2 linked regions of the Lepisosteus oculatus genome follow. The protein of the gene in region 1 purifies or fractionates together with the protein of each later gene. This does not show direct contact. Links are inferred from orthologs where the notes say so. Each region holds a gene or a part of one and is shown on either strand. Other genes may lie near its edges.

Region 1 (7,491 bases):
CAGTGTGTGATCTCCTGTCCCAGCCTGAGGAACAGACAGTGAGCCTGTCTCTCAATAATAATAATACAGTGTGTGATCTCCTGTCCCAGCCTGAGGAACAGACAGTGAGCCTGTCTCTCAATAATAATAATACAGTGTGTGATCTCCTGTCCCAGCCTGAGGAACAGACAGTGAGCCTGTCTCTCAGTAATAATAATACAGTGTGTGATCTCCTGTCCCAGCCTGAGGAACAGACAGTGAGCCCGTCTCTCAATAATAATAATACAGTGTGTGATCTCCTGTCCCAGCCTGAGGAACACAGTGAGCCTGTCTCTCAGCGCTGTGTGTGATGTCTGTCCAACAGCTCGTGGACTGTACCAGTGCTGCAGCCAGCAGGATGAGACGGGACACACCTGTGTCGTCTCTCTGCTGCCCAGGCCGTTTACGGCCGATCTGGGGTCCCGACGGGAGCGCAGTGCCAGTCCCCGAGGAGATCACCTGGCGGACCGCGGACACAGCTCTCCGCGGCCCCCCGAGGTCTCCCCTCAGAAGCCCCGGCGGCTGCGTCTCTCACGCCCGCGAGCAGAGCCTAGCCCCGCCTGTCTCCCGCTGGCGCGGGTCCGAGGGGACCGGGCCGTGGGGCCTACCTCATGGATGCCGAAGTGCGCGTAGGAGTCGAAGTAGTAGTCCTTCGAGGTCATGTCCTCCGCCGAGGGCTTTCCTGAGCTCTCCCCCTGGGACACCTGGACACACAGGGACACGGAGAGAGAGAGACAGGAGGAGGAGAAGGAAAGGAGAGAGAGAGAGAGAGAGAGAGAGAGACAGGAGGAGGAGAAGGAAAGGGAGAGAGAGAGAGAGAGAGAGACAGGAGGAGGAGAAGGAAAGGGGAGAGAGAGAGAGAGAGAGACAGGAGGAGGAGAAGGAAAGGGGAGAGAGAGAGAGAGAGAGAGACAGGAGGAGGAGAAGGAAAGGGGAGAGAGAGAGAGAGAGACAGGAGGAGGAGAAGGAAAGGGGAGAGAGAGAGAGAGAGACAGGAGGAGGAGAAGGAAAGGGAGAGAGAGAGAGAGAGAGACAGGAGGAGGAGAAGGAAAGGGGAGAGAGAGAGAGAGAGAGAGACAGGAGGAGGAGAAGGAAAGGGGAGAGAGAGAGAGAGAGAGAGACAGGAGGAGGAGAAGGAAAGGGGAGAGAGAGAGAGAGAGACAGGAGGAGGAGAAGGAAAGGGGAGAGAGAGAGAGAGAGACAGGAGGAGGAGAAGGAAAGGGGAGAGAGAGAGAGAGAGACAGGAGGAGGAGAAGGAAAGGGGAGAGAGAGAGAGAGAGACAGGAGGAGGAGAAGGAAAGGGGAGAGAGAGAGAGAGAGACAGGAGGAGGAGAAGGAAAGGGGAGAGAGAGAGAGAGAGAGAGAGACAGGAGGAGGAGAAGGAAAGGGGAGAGAGAGAGAGAGAGAGAGAGAGACAGGAGGAGGAGAAGGAAAGGGGAGAGAGAGAGAGAGAGAGAGACAGGAGGAGGAGAAGGAAAGGGGAGAGAGAGAGAGAGAGACAGGAGGAGGAGAAGGAAAGGGGAGAGAGAGAGAGAGAGAGACAGGAGGAGGAGAAGGAAAGGGGAGAGAGAGAGAGAGAGAGACAGGAGGAGGAGAAGGAAAGGGGGAGAGAGAGAGAGAGAGAGACAGGAGGAGGAGGAGAAGGAAAGGGGGGAGAGAGAGAGAGAGAGACAGGAGGAGGAGGAGAAGGAAAGGGGGGAGAGAGAGAGAGAGAGAGACAGGAGGAGGAGGAGAAGGAAAGGGGAGAGAGAGAGAGACAGGAGGAGGAGGAGAAGGAAAGGGGGAGAGAGAGAGAGAGAGAGACAGGAGGAGGAGGAGAAGGAAAGGGGAGAGAGAGAGAGAGAGAGACAGGAGGAGGAGGAGAAGGAAAGGGAGAGAGAGAGAGAGAGAGAGAGAGAGACAGGAGGAGGAGGAGAAGGAAAGGGAGAGAGAGAGAGAGAGACAGGAGGAGGAGGAGAAGGAAAGGGAGAGAGAGAGAGAGAGAGAGACAGGAGGAGGAGGAGAAGGAAAGGAGAGAGAGAGAGAGAGAGAGAGACAGGAGGAGGAGGAGAAGGAAAGAGAGAGAGAGAGAGAGAGAGAGACAGGAGGAGGAGGAGAAGGAAAGGGGAGAGAGAGAGAGAGAGACAGGAGGAGGAGGAGAAGGAAAGGGGGGAGAGAGAGAGAGAGACAGGAGGAGGAGGAGAAGGAAAGGGGGGAGAGAGAGAGAGAGACAGGAGGAGAAGGAAAGGGGGGAGAGAGAGAGAGACAGGAGGAGAAGGAAAGGGGGGAGAGAGAGAGAGACAGGAGGAGAAGGAAAGGGGGGAGAGAGAGAGAGACAGGAGGAGAAGGAAAGGGGGGAGAGAGAGACAGGAGGAGGAGAGAGGGGTGGGCATGAGTTGTGCTGCACACAGGTGACACACTCCCCCCAGGACCCCAGCAGCGCCCCCACTGGTCACACAGCGGACCTGCGCCCCCTTCCCGATCAGCCCTTACCCCGCACGGATGAGTGGGGGGGCACACGTGGGCACCCTACAGCTCCACGCGATCAATCTCATCTCACGCCCACGAACACCAGTGACCCCCCCCACCACCACCAAGCGCGCGCACCCACAACGTGGGAGGCCTCGTGCCCGCCGGTAACAGCGACTGGTGACACGTGAGCTCGCCGCCTCGTGCGCGCGTCCCACCCCCCCCCTCCTCGTCGTCTTTGTGCGTGACCGGCTGGCGCCGGCAACCCACTCATGGCGTGGGTACGCGCCGGCCCGGAACACGCCACCCTGCTTCCCCGACAGCACGAGGGCCCGAACCGCCACGGGGAATAAAGGACACGGACCCACGTGCGCCACCACAGGCTCAGTGGACACAAAGCGCCCCCACGCCACGAGGCGCCCGCCTGGACCTATGGTGGCAGGGACACACGAGCTTCCCCACGCGTGTCGGAATTCACCACCCCACTCCTCCTCCCCACGGACTCGGGCTCAAGCCCCGGGCGAGACCCGTCACGACGCGCCCCACGCCGGGCTCGGGAGCAGATTTCAGGGGCTCGGGGGTCCGGCCCCCCCTGCTCCAGCCGAGCCCACTGCGAGCGGCACCGGGACCGGACCGACGTCCCCGATCCCCGCCCGCTGCGCCCCGCCAGAACCCTTGGGGGAACCGAGCTAAAATGGACGCGGCCGCTCCGGCACGAAAAGCGACCCAACAAAGAGACGCGCTTGGCGCCCCGTCCGCCTCCGCTCCCCGATCCCCCCCGACCCGGACCAGCCCGGCCCAGCCCCTCTTCGCCCGGGTCCCCGGCCCGCGGCGCAGCCCCTGCTGCCCGCCGCGGCTCGGCCCCCTGCCCGGCCCGCACACGCCGCCAGGCCGCTCACCTCCATGCTTGCGTTCTCCGCCATTTCGAGTCTCCGTCTGCTGCTCCGCGGCCCCACACGCACCTTCTGGTCCCGCCCCCCCGCCGGCTCCAAAACCCAGGCCCGGCGCCCTGATTGGGCCACGGCGCTTGGGCCACGCCCACGGGGCGGCCCCTCTTCCGCCAGCGCAGACCTCCCATTGGTCAAACCCCTTGTCCCAGCCCACCGTGCTGGCTGCCTCCGGCCCCGCCCACATCCATGGCGCATTCGGATAAAGCGGCACAGCGATTGGACAGGGGGGCCGCCAGTCACCGCCGGGCACCGCCCACCGGCTTCCTGTCCGCCCCTGGTGAGTCACTCAGCTGCAGAGACTGTAAATCTCCGCGCCTGCAGGGGGAGACCAGTTTCGGGCTCTGCATCGCCGCTCGGCTCGTGTTCCGAACAAATCAGGCAGGAGACAGAAACGTCCGTGCAGTTTGGTTTCATTCGGCAAACTAAAACCTCTCATGTTTTGAAAACGCCGAATAATTGCGCCAGACTGTGTTTTCTGACCCCCAGCTGCGCGTCTTATTGTTCTTACTATCAAGAGTAACTGTTATTTTCAAGAGCAAAAAAAAATCTCAAATGCAGGAAACACGCAGCAGAGTTAAAACAGGAATTTAGCTTTATTTAAACGTGCATCGGGTCTTAAAAATAAAGATTGTCACCACCGTGGATAGAAATGCATAGCCATCCATACCGGCGGGATTTTCTTTAAAGGATTTAAATCCTCCGGAAGGCGGGTCTGTTGCGAGTAAGAGATCAGCTTCTGGTTGATTGACTGGTAACTAGACCAATCAGTGGGCTTCTGCTTCCAGGGAACAGCCAATCGTTTCTGCTTCTGCCGTGGCTCGGCAACAGCCAATCGTCTTCAGGGAGCCGAGCTGAGGGGCGGGTCCTAAGGACTGGTGGGGACCGACGAATATGACGTCATATAGCGGTTTAACAGCAGACAGAGAAAATAATGTTTTATATGGGTCGTCAAACATGTGTATGATGTTGATTGCAATTTTTTTAATCAGCCACTCCCACTGCAAGATTCATGCGTTATAATAATGAAAATTCACAGCACCAACAATAATGTTCTGGGGATATGTCGTGGAGATGAATTAAACCTTCTGCAATCTGATTAATAAGTGCGCATATTACTACAAGTGATATCATAAAGCACGGTACAAATAGTGTAAATCATGTAAAGTCCAGTGAGATCAGGGTAAAAACACAGTATAGTGCAGTAAAGCCCAGTGAGATCAGGGTAAAGGCGCAGTAGAGCCCAGTGAGATCAGAGTAAAAGCCCAGTACAGCTCAGTAGAGCCCAGTGAGATCGGGGTAAAAACACAGTATAGTGCAGTAGAGCCCAGTGAGATCGGGGTAAAAACACAGTACAGCGCAGTAGAGCCCAGTGAGATCGGGGTAAAAACACAGTACAGCTCAGTAGAGCCCAGTGAGATCAGGGTAAAAACAGTACAGCGCAGTAAAGCCCAGTGAGATCAGGGTAAAAGCCCAGTACAGCTCAGTAAAGCCTAGTGAGATCAGGGTAAAAACACAGTACAGCTCAGTAGAGCCCAGTGAGATCAGGGCAAAAACAGTACAGCGCAGTAAAGCCCAGTGAGATCAGGGTAAAAGCCCAGTACAGCTCAGTAGAGCCCAGTGAGATCGGGGTAAAAACACAGTACAGCGCAGTAAAGCCCAGTGAGATCAGGGTAAAAGCCCAGTACAGCTCAGTAGAGCCCAGTGAGATCGGGGTAAAAACACAGTACAGCGCAGTAGAGCCCAGTGAGATCGGGGTAAAAACACAGTACAGCTCAGTAGAGCCCAGTGAGATCAGGGTAAAAACAGTACAGCGCAGTAAAGCCCAGTGAGATCAGGGTAAAAGCCCAGTACAGCTCAGTAAAGCCCAGTGAGATCAGGGTAAAAACACAGTACAGCTCAGTAGAGCCCAGTGAGATCAGGGCAAAAACAGTACAGCGCAGTAAAGCCCAGTGAGATCAGGGTAAAAGCCCAGTACAGCTCAGTAGAGCCCAGTGAGATCGGGGTAATAATAATAATAATAAACTTTATTTTATATAGCGCCTTTAAAGGTGGCTTCTCAAAGCGCTTTACAGGATGACAATAACAATAAATAAGAAGACTACAACAATAAATAAGAAAATTTCACAAGACAGGACACAATTATAATTACAGCAATACAACAATAACAATAGAGGAGACCGTGGAAGATGGTATTAAGAAGAGCAGAGGGGTGAAGAATGGAACCAGTTAAGTAAAGGCTTTTCTGAAAAGGAGGGTTTTGAGTCTGGATTTGAAGGAGTTTAGAGAAGGTGACTCTCTAATATCCTTGGGCAAGGAGTTCCAGAGCTTGGTAGTAGGGCGATAAAAGTTCAGACAGGTATTGAGGTGCCAAGCCATGTAAAGCCTTGTAGGTGAGCATGAGGATTTTAAAGTCTACGCGGAATTTGACCGGAAGCCAGTGCAAGGACTCCAGGATAGGAGTAATGTGAACACTTGCACTAGATCTGGTCAGGATTCTGGCTGCTGAATTTTGGACATACTGCAGCTTGTTCAGAGTAGATTTAGATACCCCAGGGAGCAGAGCATTGCAGTAGTCAATTCGAGAGAATACAAATATGTTGATCAGCTTTTCAGCCACAGTTAATGATAGCATAGGGCGTAGTCTTGCGATATTTCTAAGGTGAAAAAAAGATGTTTTGACAGTATGCTGTACATGTGGGTCGAATGTTAAGCCAGAATCGAATATAACCCCAAGGTTTTTCAATTTTGATTGGAGCTCAAGTACAGAGCCATCTACAGACAGGGTTACAGGACTGGCTTTACGAAGTTGATGGGGGGTACCAATAAGCATGACTTCAGTCTTGTCACAGTTAAGATGAAGGAAGTTTTGAGTCATCCAAATTTTTATGTCAGAGATGCATAGATGTAAAAACACAGTACAGCGCAGTAGAGCCCAGTGAGATCGGGGTAAAAACACAGTACAGCGCAGTAGAGCCCAGTGAGATCGGGGTAAAAACACAGTACAGCGCAGTAGAGCCCAGTGAGATCGGGGTAAAAACACAGTACAGCTCAGTAGAGCCCAGTGAGATCGGGGTAAAAACACAGTCCAGCTCAGTAGAGCCCAGTGAGATCGGGGTAAAAACACAGTACAGCGCAGTAGAGCCCAGTGAGATCGGGGTAAAAACACAGTACAGCGCAGTAGAGCCCAGTGAGATCGGGGTAAAAGCCCAGTACAGCTCAGTAGAGCCCAGTGAGATCGGGGTAAAAACACAGTCCAGCTCAGTAGAGCCCAGTGAGATCGGGGTAAAAACACAGTACAGCGCAGTAAAGCCCAGTGAGATCGGGGTAAAAACACAGTACAGCTCAGTAGAGCCCAGTGAGATCGGGGTAAAAGCACAGTCCAGCGCAGTAGAGCCCAGTGAGATCAGGGTAAAAACACAGTCCAGCGCAGTAGAGCCCAGTGAGATCGGGGTAAAAGCACAGTCCAGCGCAGTAGAGCCCAGTGAGATCAGGGTAAAAACACAGTCCAGCGCAGTAGAGCCCAGTGAGATCGGGGTAAAAGCACAGTCCAGCGCAGTAGAGCCCAGTGAGATCAGGGTAAAAACACAGTCCAGCGCAGTAGAGCCCAGTGAGATCGGGGTAAAAACACAGTACAGCTCAGTAGAGCCCAGTGAGATCAGGGTAAAAACACAGTCCAGCTCAGTAGAGCCCAGTGAGATCAGGGTAAAAGCCCAGTACAGCTCAGTAGAGCCCAGTGAGATCGGGGTAAAAATACAGTACAGCTCAGTAGAGCCCAGTGAGATCGGGGTAAAAACACAGTACAGCTCAGTAGAGCCCAGTGAGATCGGGGTAAAAACACAGTACAGCGCAGTAGAGCCCAGTGAGATCGGGGTAAAAACACAGTACAGCTCAGTAGAGCCCAGTGAGATCGGGGTAAAAGCACAGTACAGCTCAGTAGAGCCCAGTGAGATCGGGGTAAAAACACAGTACAGCGCAGTAGAGCCCAGTGAGATCAGGGTAAAAGCCCAGTACAGCTCAGTAGAGCCCAGTGAGATCAGGGTAAAAACACAGTCCAGCTCAGTAGAGGTACAGCTCA
Region 2 (8,451 bases), on another chromosome or scaffold:
AGCAGTTTATTATTCATTTTTCACCATGTGGTAGGAAACATGTTTCTATCTGAAGAAATTCAGACAGCACATAAAACCTGCATCACTCATGAAGAAACCAGATTACAATTTTGCCAGTGAGCATTTAAGTATTCCCATTACACAACTAAACAATACAGTACAAACTTGGAATTAGGGGAGTCCAGTCTGAAAACATAACTCCAGTTATGTAAAACTAAATCCATTCATCTTGGGTACTTGAGTAACAAGCTTTCCTCAGGGCACGATTTTCCTAAACAGATAGGCGGCCTGGCATGTCCCAGAAGCCAAATCATGATTTAGCCCTTTGGAAGGCTCATATAATTACAGAAGCTCTGCGTCACCACAGGGAGCAAGAATTTCATCAGAGAACCTTCAGCTAAGGGGAGGAGAATCTGCAGGGGTTAAAAACCTCTGAACTGTAATCCCAAGCTCTCACACAGTTAAGAGTCAGGCTCAACATAAAGGTTACACAAGGAAGATACGGCCATCTGACCTATCCAGCTCAGCTGGTCTCTATTAGCTTTGTGATCAGAGAATCTCATCCAGCCCGTCGTTGAAATTCACCAAGACATCAGCTTTGGCAATGTGGCAGGGCACCTTTCTGCAGACATCAACAAACCCTTGGAATAAAAACGTGGCGTCTCCTGTTCAGGTTTAAACGATCCCATCTTTAATTTAGTTCTAATGAGCACTTCCAAAATTTGTATTACATGGATGACTACCAGGTCACGATGCGAGTCCAGACGCAACAAAATAAGCGTTGGTTCTAACCTTACACAAGTCTCAGCCCAGGAGAAATCAAGGTACATCCTCATTTAAACTGTCAGTCCTAACTTAAGCAGGACTTTAAAAACTGTATTCCCAGGAAATGGAGAGAGAACCAAAGAGCCTTCAAGTGATTGAAATAATATTCTGACTACAAGGTTTTCAGAAAAAAAGAGTTGGATTCGCCACTGCAGTGGCTCATGCATAAGCAACAAATAACTTGTAACATCAGCCTGGGTATAATAAATTTCACTTTTAAAGGCTGTCACCAAACAATTAGAAAACCATAAATCTCACACAATTTTTTATTTAGAAAGACACTCAATTGTGACTAGACAACTGCAATTTATTTAAAAAAAAACATCCTTCTAAACCATACATATCACTCGGGAGTTCAAACTCTTGGTCTTTTTGGGGTGCGATCAGTGTTCTGAAGTTCCTTTCAATCGATGCATGCTTGAGATCTGGGAACAAGATTTAAAGGGCCCAGTTCAGTACAGACCTGCCAGAGCCCTGGAATTCAAACAGAAAATACAAACAGAGCCCTCCATGACTGCACTTTGTTACAGTGTATCTAGACCGGGTTCCAACAAGTGACATCAGTTTTACAGCCTCGATTACAATATCAGCACAACCCCCGTCTTATTCTGCTTGGGAAAACGTAAACAAAGGCAAAACATTTCTTTAGAATAATTTAGTGTGAGGTTTGGGGCTAGGCCGTGTTTAAAACTATACCTTTAGGTGTTACACTAAACAGCCGAGCCCATTCTAAACCAGTTCACTTGCTGGTAGACAGGAAAAAGGATGAAACCGGTAGGACCCCCGATTTTATTTATTGCCAACCCACGCAACTGGGAAGGCCGCCGGGATACAGCTAGCCAAGGGAAACAAAAAAACTCAAGTTGCAGGTACAGCGATACCGCATAAACCTAAATGCAATGCCTCCGATTTCACCTGCACTTCTGAAGGCAACGGGAGACAAAAAAAAAACACCACCACACACTTGGAGCTGCCCCAGCTCCGGGCCCGGATTATAACCGGGGTGAAAGGAAGACTCAGCCCAGCCAGCTCACACAAAGAGGCCGACGTCAAGAGCCAGCTGGCGCAGAAAGTGAATATCAGAGGCTTGACGCCGAGTTGCACCGCCCCGGCTCGGCGGGGCGGGCGGGTGTGAAACCGGGGCCCCCGACAACGGAACCGAGCCTCCCCGCCGGTGCCGAGCGCAAACTTTGCCACCCCCCCCAAACGTTTACCGCCATTTTAGCTCCTCGTCGAAACACGGGTGCTCACACCGAGCCGGCTGCGCCGCCGAGGCCTACCCGCCTCTCACCCGAGAGCGGCCCATCCAGGCGGAAAGCCCGAGTCAACAAAGGAAAGGCCGTCTGAGCGCCTCCCCTCCGCCAGACCCGTAAAAGCCGGGGTGCAGGCCCTGCAAACGCACCCGGCGCGGCGCTGGAGCATGGCTGCTCACTTCTTTTATAAACAAAAGGCCGAAGGGGACTTGTTTACAAACCACCTCACCCCTGACCGGCGCTGGCTGTTTCTTGAATTACACGACCTCCCTCCCCCCCCGTCCCCCTTTTGTTGTTCCCCTACAGTCCACCTGCCCACGGTTAACCCCCCCGCCGCCACCACCACCATCACCAGATCAGCTATTTGTTCAATTTCCACCCCCCTCTCCGCCCGGATCTGATCCGTTAACAAAAAACAACAACCACCGAACGAAATAGCAGCTACGACTACGAAGAGCCTGTCGGCAATTTTCGCAGACCTAGAGCGAACTTTTCCCGCAGGTTTCGAGGCCGTCGGTCGCTTAATATATATATATATTATTTTTTTTGAACAACGAGTGCCAACAACACATCGAATAAAAATGTGCTTCGCTCCCCCCCCTCCTCCTCCTCCTCCTCCTCCGCTACCAATTGTGCTACCAGCCGGGGTTTCGTTGCTATTCCCGGAGCCCCGTCGGTGCGGCTGCGGCCGGCGGCTCCCCGTTCCTCCCCCATGACCCCCGCCTCGCTCCCCTCCCCCGGGCACCTTTGGCGAGCGCGACGGTGGAGTTCTCGGTGTCGATCGTGTACAAGATCCCCTCGTAGCGGATCTCGGCCTTCGAGATGAGGCTGATCTTGCTGCCGATGTAAGGGGTCCCCCCGCTCATGGCGTCTCCCGGGTCGGTGCGGCTCCTGCGACGGCGGATGGAAGTGGATTACGGATCGCGGCTCCCGGGCTCACTCCTCGCTCCCTCTTCTCGCACTCTGTTCTTTCTTCTCGGCTCTCCCCCTTTCCTCTCGGAGGTGCTACGCCAACATGGCCGACTTCATTTTTTTTCTCCTTCGCACTAAAACTGCCCGAGGGGCGCAAGCGGAAGTTGTTAAAAAAATGGCGCTCTCGCGAGTTTTCAAGGGGATGCTCCAAAGGTGACGAGAACTCAGTCTGAACACATGGACCTAATGGCTGCAGCTGGCGAGTGGGAGTTAGTGGCTGATTTATAAATAAAACTTCACGTTTTAAGCGCCAGGGTAACAGCAGAAAACTGAATTTGACGTATGCGTAAATAAAATGCACCCGCAGTTGTCTTCTCTTCTAAACGTTTGGCCCCTCACAGTACTGAGACGATCAGAAACACTACCTTCTAAGAGGAATTACAGAAAAGGGTCTTTGGGAATTAGGCATTGATTCAGAAGACAATGCAAAACTACTATATCGTAAAAAATAGAACAAGCAAGAGTGTTTTATGTCCGTATAATGTTTGATTTCTTGTACACAAAATGATATTGTGGTTTATTATATGACTGAACTGAGCTGGTTATACAGAACAATATATTTTAAACCCATGTGTTAATGAATAGTTTAGGGAAAACGGAAACTGAACAGGCTGACAAAAATTCTACTTTTATTGGCAAAATACAGTTTTCACTCATAGCAAATTTGATTACTTTAATCACAATCCTCAATCATATACGTTTTTTTTCTTGCTTCGCTTGTTCATTTATCACACAGCTGCTAATTGTTTAGAAAAAATAATACTGTTACAAAATAAAATGCAATATCCAATAGAAAATAAACATCCCAGAGCAGAGGCAAATGAGCATTTAGGAAGAGCTCTAACAAAATGTATTAACACATCTAAAATTAAATATGATCAGAGTTAAATTATTCTGATGAAATTGCTGAATAATTATCTAAAGTAACAGCACATATATAGATGAATACTTAGTTTACAAGAGTCTGGGATATATTTCAAGGTATGTGTAGGATACATTAGAGAGCATGGGTTAAGTGCAAATGATTGATCACATAAATAGAATATAAAATAAAGACATGCAGCACACTATCAATCACGGCTTATCACAGTTGAGAGGGTATTATCAAGGGTATCTAATCATTGGAAGATTTGGTCAGACATTCAGACATTTACCTTACGGCTTGCTGTGCTTTCTGTATACATTAGTCTGTAGTTGCAGATCTGAAAATATTGCTTTGAATTCTGAAAATAGTATACAATGCTGTATGTAAATTCTAATATAATATTTAGTAACCAAGAAAAAGGTTTGAAAATCTTTTTTTTCAAACTGTGAAACGTTTTATCTAAATTACTAGGAAGGTAATTTGTGTATTATTATTTAAGAAAGTAACATACAATACAGATATGCAATATTTTTTCCTTAGTGGTTTAAATAAATTGCTCTTGGTAGCAGTGGTTTTGAGCCAGGGGTGGTGAGACCACTGGGCCGCCGAACACAACCAAGTGAAACTGAAACACCTCTACGCTGCCAGCTGGTGACCTGCAGTTCTAATGTTAATTACTACTCAGACATTATTTTCAATATGCATACTTTACTTTGACCTTATGTTTTAATCGAGAGTCTTTAAAGTGACAATCAATGAAAGGCGGGCTATTAGAAAGAGCAAAACCTCTGGTTTATGCTGACAGAATGACATAATTCATTTTAGTTGCAAACACAGGACTACAAAGAAATTGACTGAACTATTCAAAATCCTCAAAGACATCGACAAGGTCAACCCCAGTAGACTTCCTCAAAATCAAGTGAGGTTACGAGTGGAAACTACAGGGAAGTGCATTTAACACTGAGACCAAGGAGGCACATATTAACACAAAAGGATTGTGGGAGTTTGGAACGAGCTATCCAACCATGTTGACCAGACCCTCAGATTAATTAGCACATATCGAAAAAGCTAGTCAGAACGGCCTCCTGGCTTCTTCTATCTTTATCACTGCAATCGACACCAGCTCAAGCGGGCGGAAATTTCATATTTGGGTGCTTTGCAAAAAGATAACCCCGTTCCAGCCTGCAGCTGCTCTCACTAGACACCAGCATTTGAACTCTGTTTCCTGCGAAATGAATCGGACTCGGACACAGCGAATGAATTTTGGCGCTCTGACGTCACGCACCGTTCCCACAATGCCCAGCAACACGCCTGCGTAGTGACTACACCAAAATTTGGACAGCGATCTGAGATCAAAGATGGCGGGTGCCTCCGACCCTCTGGAAGATATGCTCTTCTCCGAGGTGGATGAAAAAGCCGTTAGCGATCTGGTGGGCTCCCTGGAGTCGCAGCTGGCCGGCCAAAGCAACCCAGCAGCCCCCCACACCGAAACCAGGAGCGCTGGCGTGACGGGGGCCGCTAATCACCACTTAGGAAGAATGCTACCTGCCCAAGTGGACACTATACTAGAGCAGCAGCAACAACAACAAGGGCAACATAAAGCTGGGGTAAACCAGGAGCCCAACTGTAAAGCACTTAGCTCCGGGAAAACTGTGATACCGTCTTCGCTCAGTTCCATTCCGCCCTTCGAAGAAGCTTCCATCACTTCTGGGACCGGGGTAAATGCTAGTAGTAGCGGGTTGCCATCACATGGAGCATCTAATATCACAACAGTGTCTGCACCTGGTCTGGTAACTTTACCACCTCCGCTGGTCAGCATCAGCCCTGGCAGCCGGGGCACCGTCCTGGGCTCGGGAGGGGCAGCGACGGCGGCGGACCCCCTGAAGAACCACCTCACCTCGACCATCAGGACTGCTCCCGCAGGGATACAGAGTTTGAACGGGAACGGCGGAGTTGCAGTGAACTCTCCGGTCAACCCCGCCGCTCCTGCCGCCGTCGGCTTCCCCGCCGCTGCCGGCGCGGTGACTCTCGTTAATAACGTGGTGAACAGTGCCGTCCCCAGCCCGACCGGCGCCGCCAGCAGCGGCTTGGCCGGGGCGCCCTGTGCGAGCGCGCCCGCCTTCAGCGCTGCCCAGCCCGGCGTGGCCCCGGACGGCTCGGGCACCCTCACGATTGCCCTGCAGAGACCCCCGGGTCACCTCGCGGCCAGCGTGGCGCAGAATGGGAACGGGGCGCCGGCGCTGGTGCAGCAGGTCGCACGGACAGGTCCCCCGGCCGCGGCCGTAGCCCAGCTGGCGAACCACCGCAAGGGCGGGGATGGCAGCGACCCGCCGGCGGACTCCCCTGCGCCGTCTAAAATCATCCTGCCGACCCAGCCTTGCGTGGTCAGTTCCCTAGCAAACCCCGTCAGCTCTCCCGCACCGGCTGTCAACCCGCCGGCGAGTCAGCCGCCGAGCTCGGCGGCCACCTCGGCGCCGGCCGCCAGCAGCCCCGCGGCCAAGCCCGCTGTCAACATCACTACCGTCGGCGTGGTGAGACCTGGGACCCCGTCGCCGTCCGCCGGGATGTCCGCGTCCACGCAGCCCCAGCCCCTCCGCCCGGGGGTGGGCGCGACCCAGAGGATAGTGGCACCGCAGCTGATCGTCAGACCGCCCCAGCAGACCACCATCCAGCTGCCTCCCGGATTCACCATCCCTCCGGGTGAGTCCGAGTGCAGCCGTTTACACTGTCTCCTCTTCTCATTATAGCAGTACGTTATCAGCCAGTGTGAAGTGAGGCAGTTTTTAGTAGCGCTGCCATGTGTATGCACAGCCCTCGGATTCTTCTGGTATGTACAACTATTATTTTTAAAAATGCACGATTGCACTTCTAAAGGGTATAGCTATACTTGCCGGTTAAGTAACTTTGGTCCCACAAACGGAGCCTCCTTATTAGTTGCTGCTGCACAGAAAGCACCTAACCTACTCCTGTACTCATCTTTACCTCATATCAAAAACTAATTCTAGGGAATCGAATGTAATGAAAACTTTATTTTTAAAGATGCCAGATCAAGCTTTCACTGTGCAACCAGGAACAGTATATGTTTTCCATATTTAGAAATTTCAGTCCTACCTGTATGTCCAGTCATTATGCGTCCAGTGCAGAATGAGGTCATATCAATAGTCTGGCAAGGCTACACAGTTCTGGTATCAGAGGTGCAGCTCCTGAACCTCTGAGCTTCTAGATGACAGCAGTGAAGTTTGGCAAGTGACATTTAAAAAAAAAAAAACATAAAATGACGAGTTGCTAAAAAATTAAGAGAAAAATAATTCTGATGAGAGTAAGTAGACATTTTTTTGCACATTTTCATCATTGCACAAGAATTCCACATCTATCTCTCCCTTAAAGGAAGAGGAAAAGTATGATAAACTGCTGTAAGTACAGGCAGCACAGTCGCGTGACCACGTGACGCCACCTGGGACTTTGGTTCAGTGTCAGACTGTCGTACCTTCTGTGTGGAGTTTGAATGTTCTCCTCGGGGTTTCTTCCCAACTTCTAAAGCTTGATGAATGGCCGATGCAGAAAGTATCCCTTTTCAGACCAGCTGAAGGAGAACAGTTTTGAAAGTAGGCGCTAACTCCAGCAGCACTATTCATGAAGGAATCTGTGTGATACATACTTGCAACCAATATTGCAAAACAAGTGCTGCGAACCTCAAATTGCAGTTTGTTCTTAAACTGAAAGATTTTTTTTGTAGCAAGTCAAGTTGAGAAAGTCTTTAAGGATGTACAGCATGTTGATAAGATTTCCTTTCTGCCTAAATTAGATAAAGTTACAGTTATACTTCTTAAAATGGCTTATTTGAAAGGAATGGTCAATTTAGCAAATTCAAGGAAAACAGTTGTTTTAAAAAGTCAGAATTTGAGATACTCCTATGAACCATCAAACAATAAAGTGTTAAAAAATCAACTCCGTTATTTTAGAGATGATGTATGTATTATGTTGTTTTTTTCTCTGCTCCTTTTACCCCAATATGAAATTGCTTTTGCTGTTGAGCCCTAAGTTATTGCACCGTAGAAGTGACTTTGCAGACACGCAGCGATGCTTTTGCTGTTAGAGATTCCAAGACAGAACAGTGGAAGCCGGATCTGCCTCTGTCTCAATTTCCAGCAGGCATCAATTTCTGACTTTTTTTACATGACTGAATGTGCGTGGAATAAAACAAGGTTCCCAAAAGGTTTTAGTTGTCTACGTTTTCTAACCTTTTCTGGTCATAAAAAGTCAGCAGGACTAACCTAAAGGGGTGAAAAGGAAAGGAGACCCTTCAGCTACCCAGGATGCCCAGTAGCTGATTGATCCACGGATTTCTTCCAATTCTTGAAGGATCTCGGGGACTCTGCTTCAGCGGCGTGGCTGGGCGGCCTTTTCCAGACTCCTGTACTTCCTTTTTGTTTCTTTTTTCAGTCCTGAACGCACTTCCACATCTCCTTCGACCCCCTTCTCACTCCGGTCCCTGGGTTGATTTTTGTTCATACTTTTTTTAGATGATAAATATTT

What was found. Proteins that work in one complex are often made in the same cells at the same time.
Region 2: the proteins of prmt1 (region 1) and protein LSM14 homolog A purify together in Homo sapiens (affinity purification with mass spectrometry; 3 studies listed by BioGRID and IntAct, with this or other methods). This does not show direct contact. The link is inferred for Lepisosteus oculatus from reciprocal best matches to the Homo sapiens genes PRMT1 and LSM14A.

What each region holds. Positions count from the first base shown.
Region 1 is NC_090702.1:791,831-799,321, reverse strand, and holds the start of prmt1 (protein arginine N-methyltransferase 1), read right to left. Parts: upstream 3,467-7,491; 5' UTR 3,390-3,466; coding exon 3,366-3,389; intron 723-3,365; coding exon 627-722; intron 1-626. UniProt on the Homo sapiens protein: Arginine methyltransferase that methylates (mono and asymmetric dimethylation) the guanidino nitrogens of arginyl residues present in proteins such as ESR1, histone H2, H3 and H4, FMR1, ILF3, HNRNPA1, HNRNPD, NFATC2IP, SUPT5H, TAF15, EWS, HABP4, SERBP1, RBM15, FOXO1, CHTOP, MAP3K5/ASK1, MICU1 and NPRL2.
Region 2 is NC_090715.1:15,178,300-15,186,750, forward strand, and holds the start of protein LSM14 homolog A, read right to left. Parts: upstream 3,148-8,451; 5' UTR 2,945-3,147; coding exon 2,824-2,944; intron 1-2,823. Other genes in the region: transcription initiation factor TFIID subunit 4-like, read left to right, coding at 5,274-6,615. UniProt on the Homo sapiens protein: Essential for formation of P-bodies, cytoplasmic structures that provide storage sites for translationally inactive mRNAs and protect them from degradation. Acts as a repressor of mRNA translation. May play a role in mitotic spindle assembly.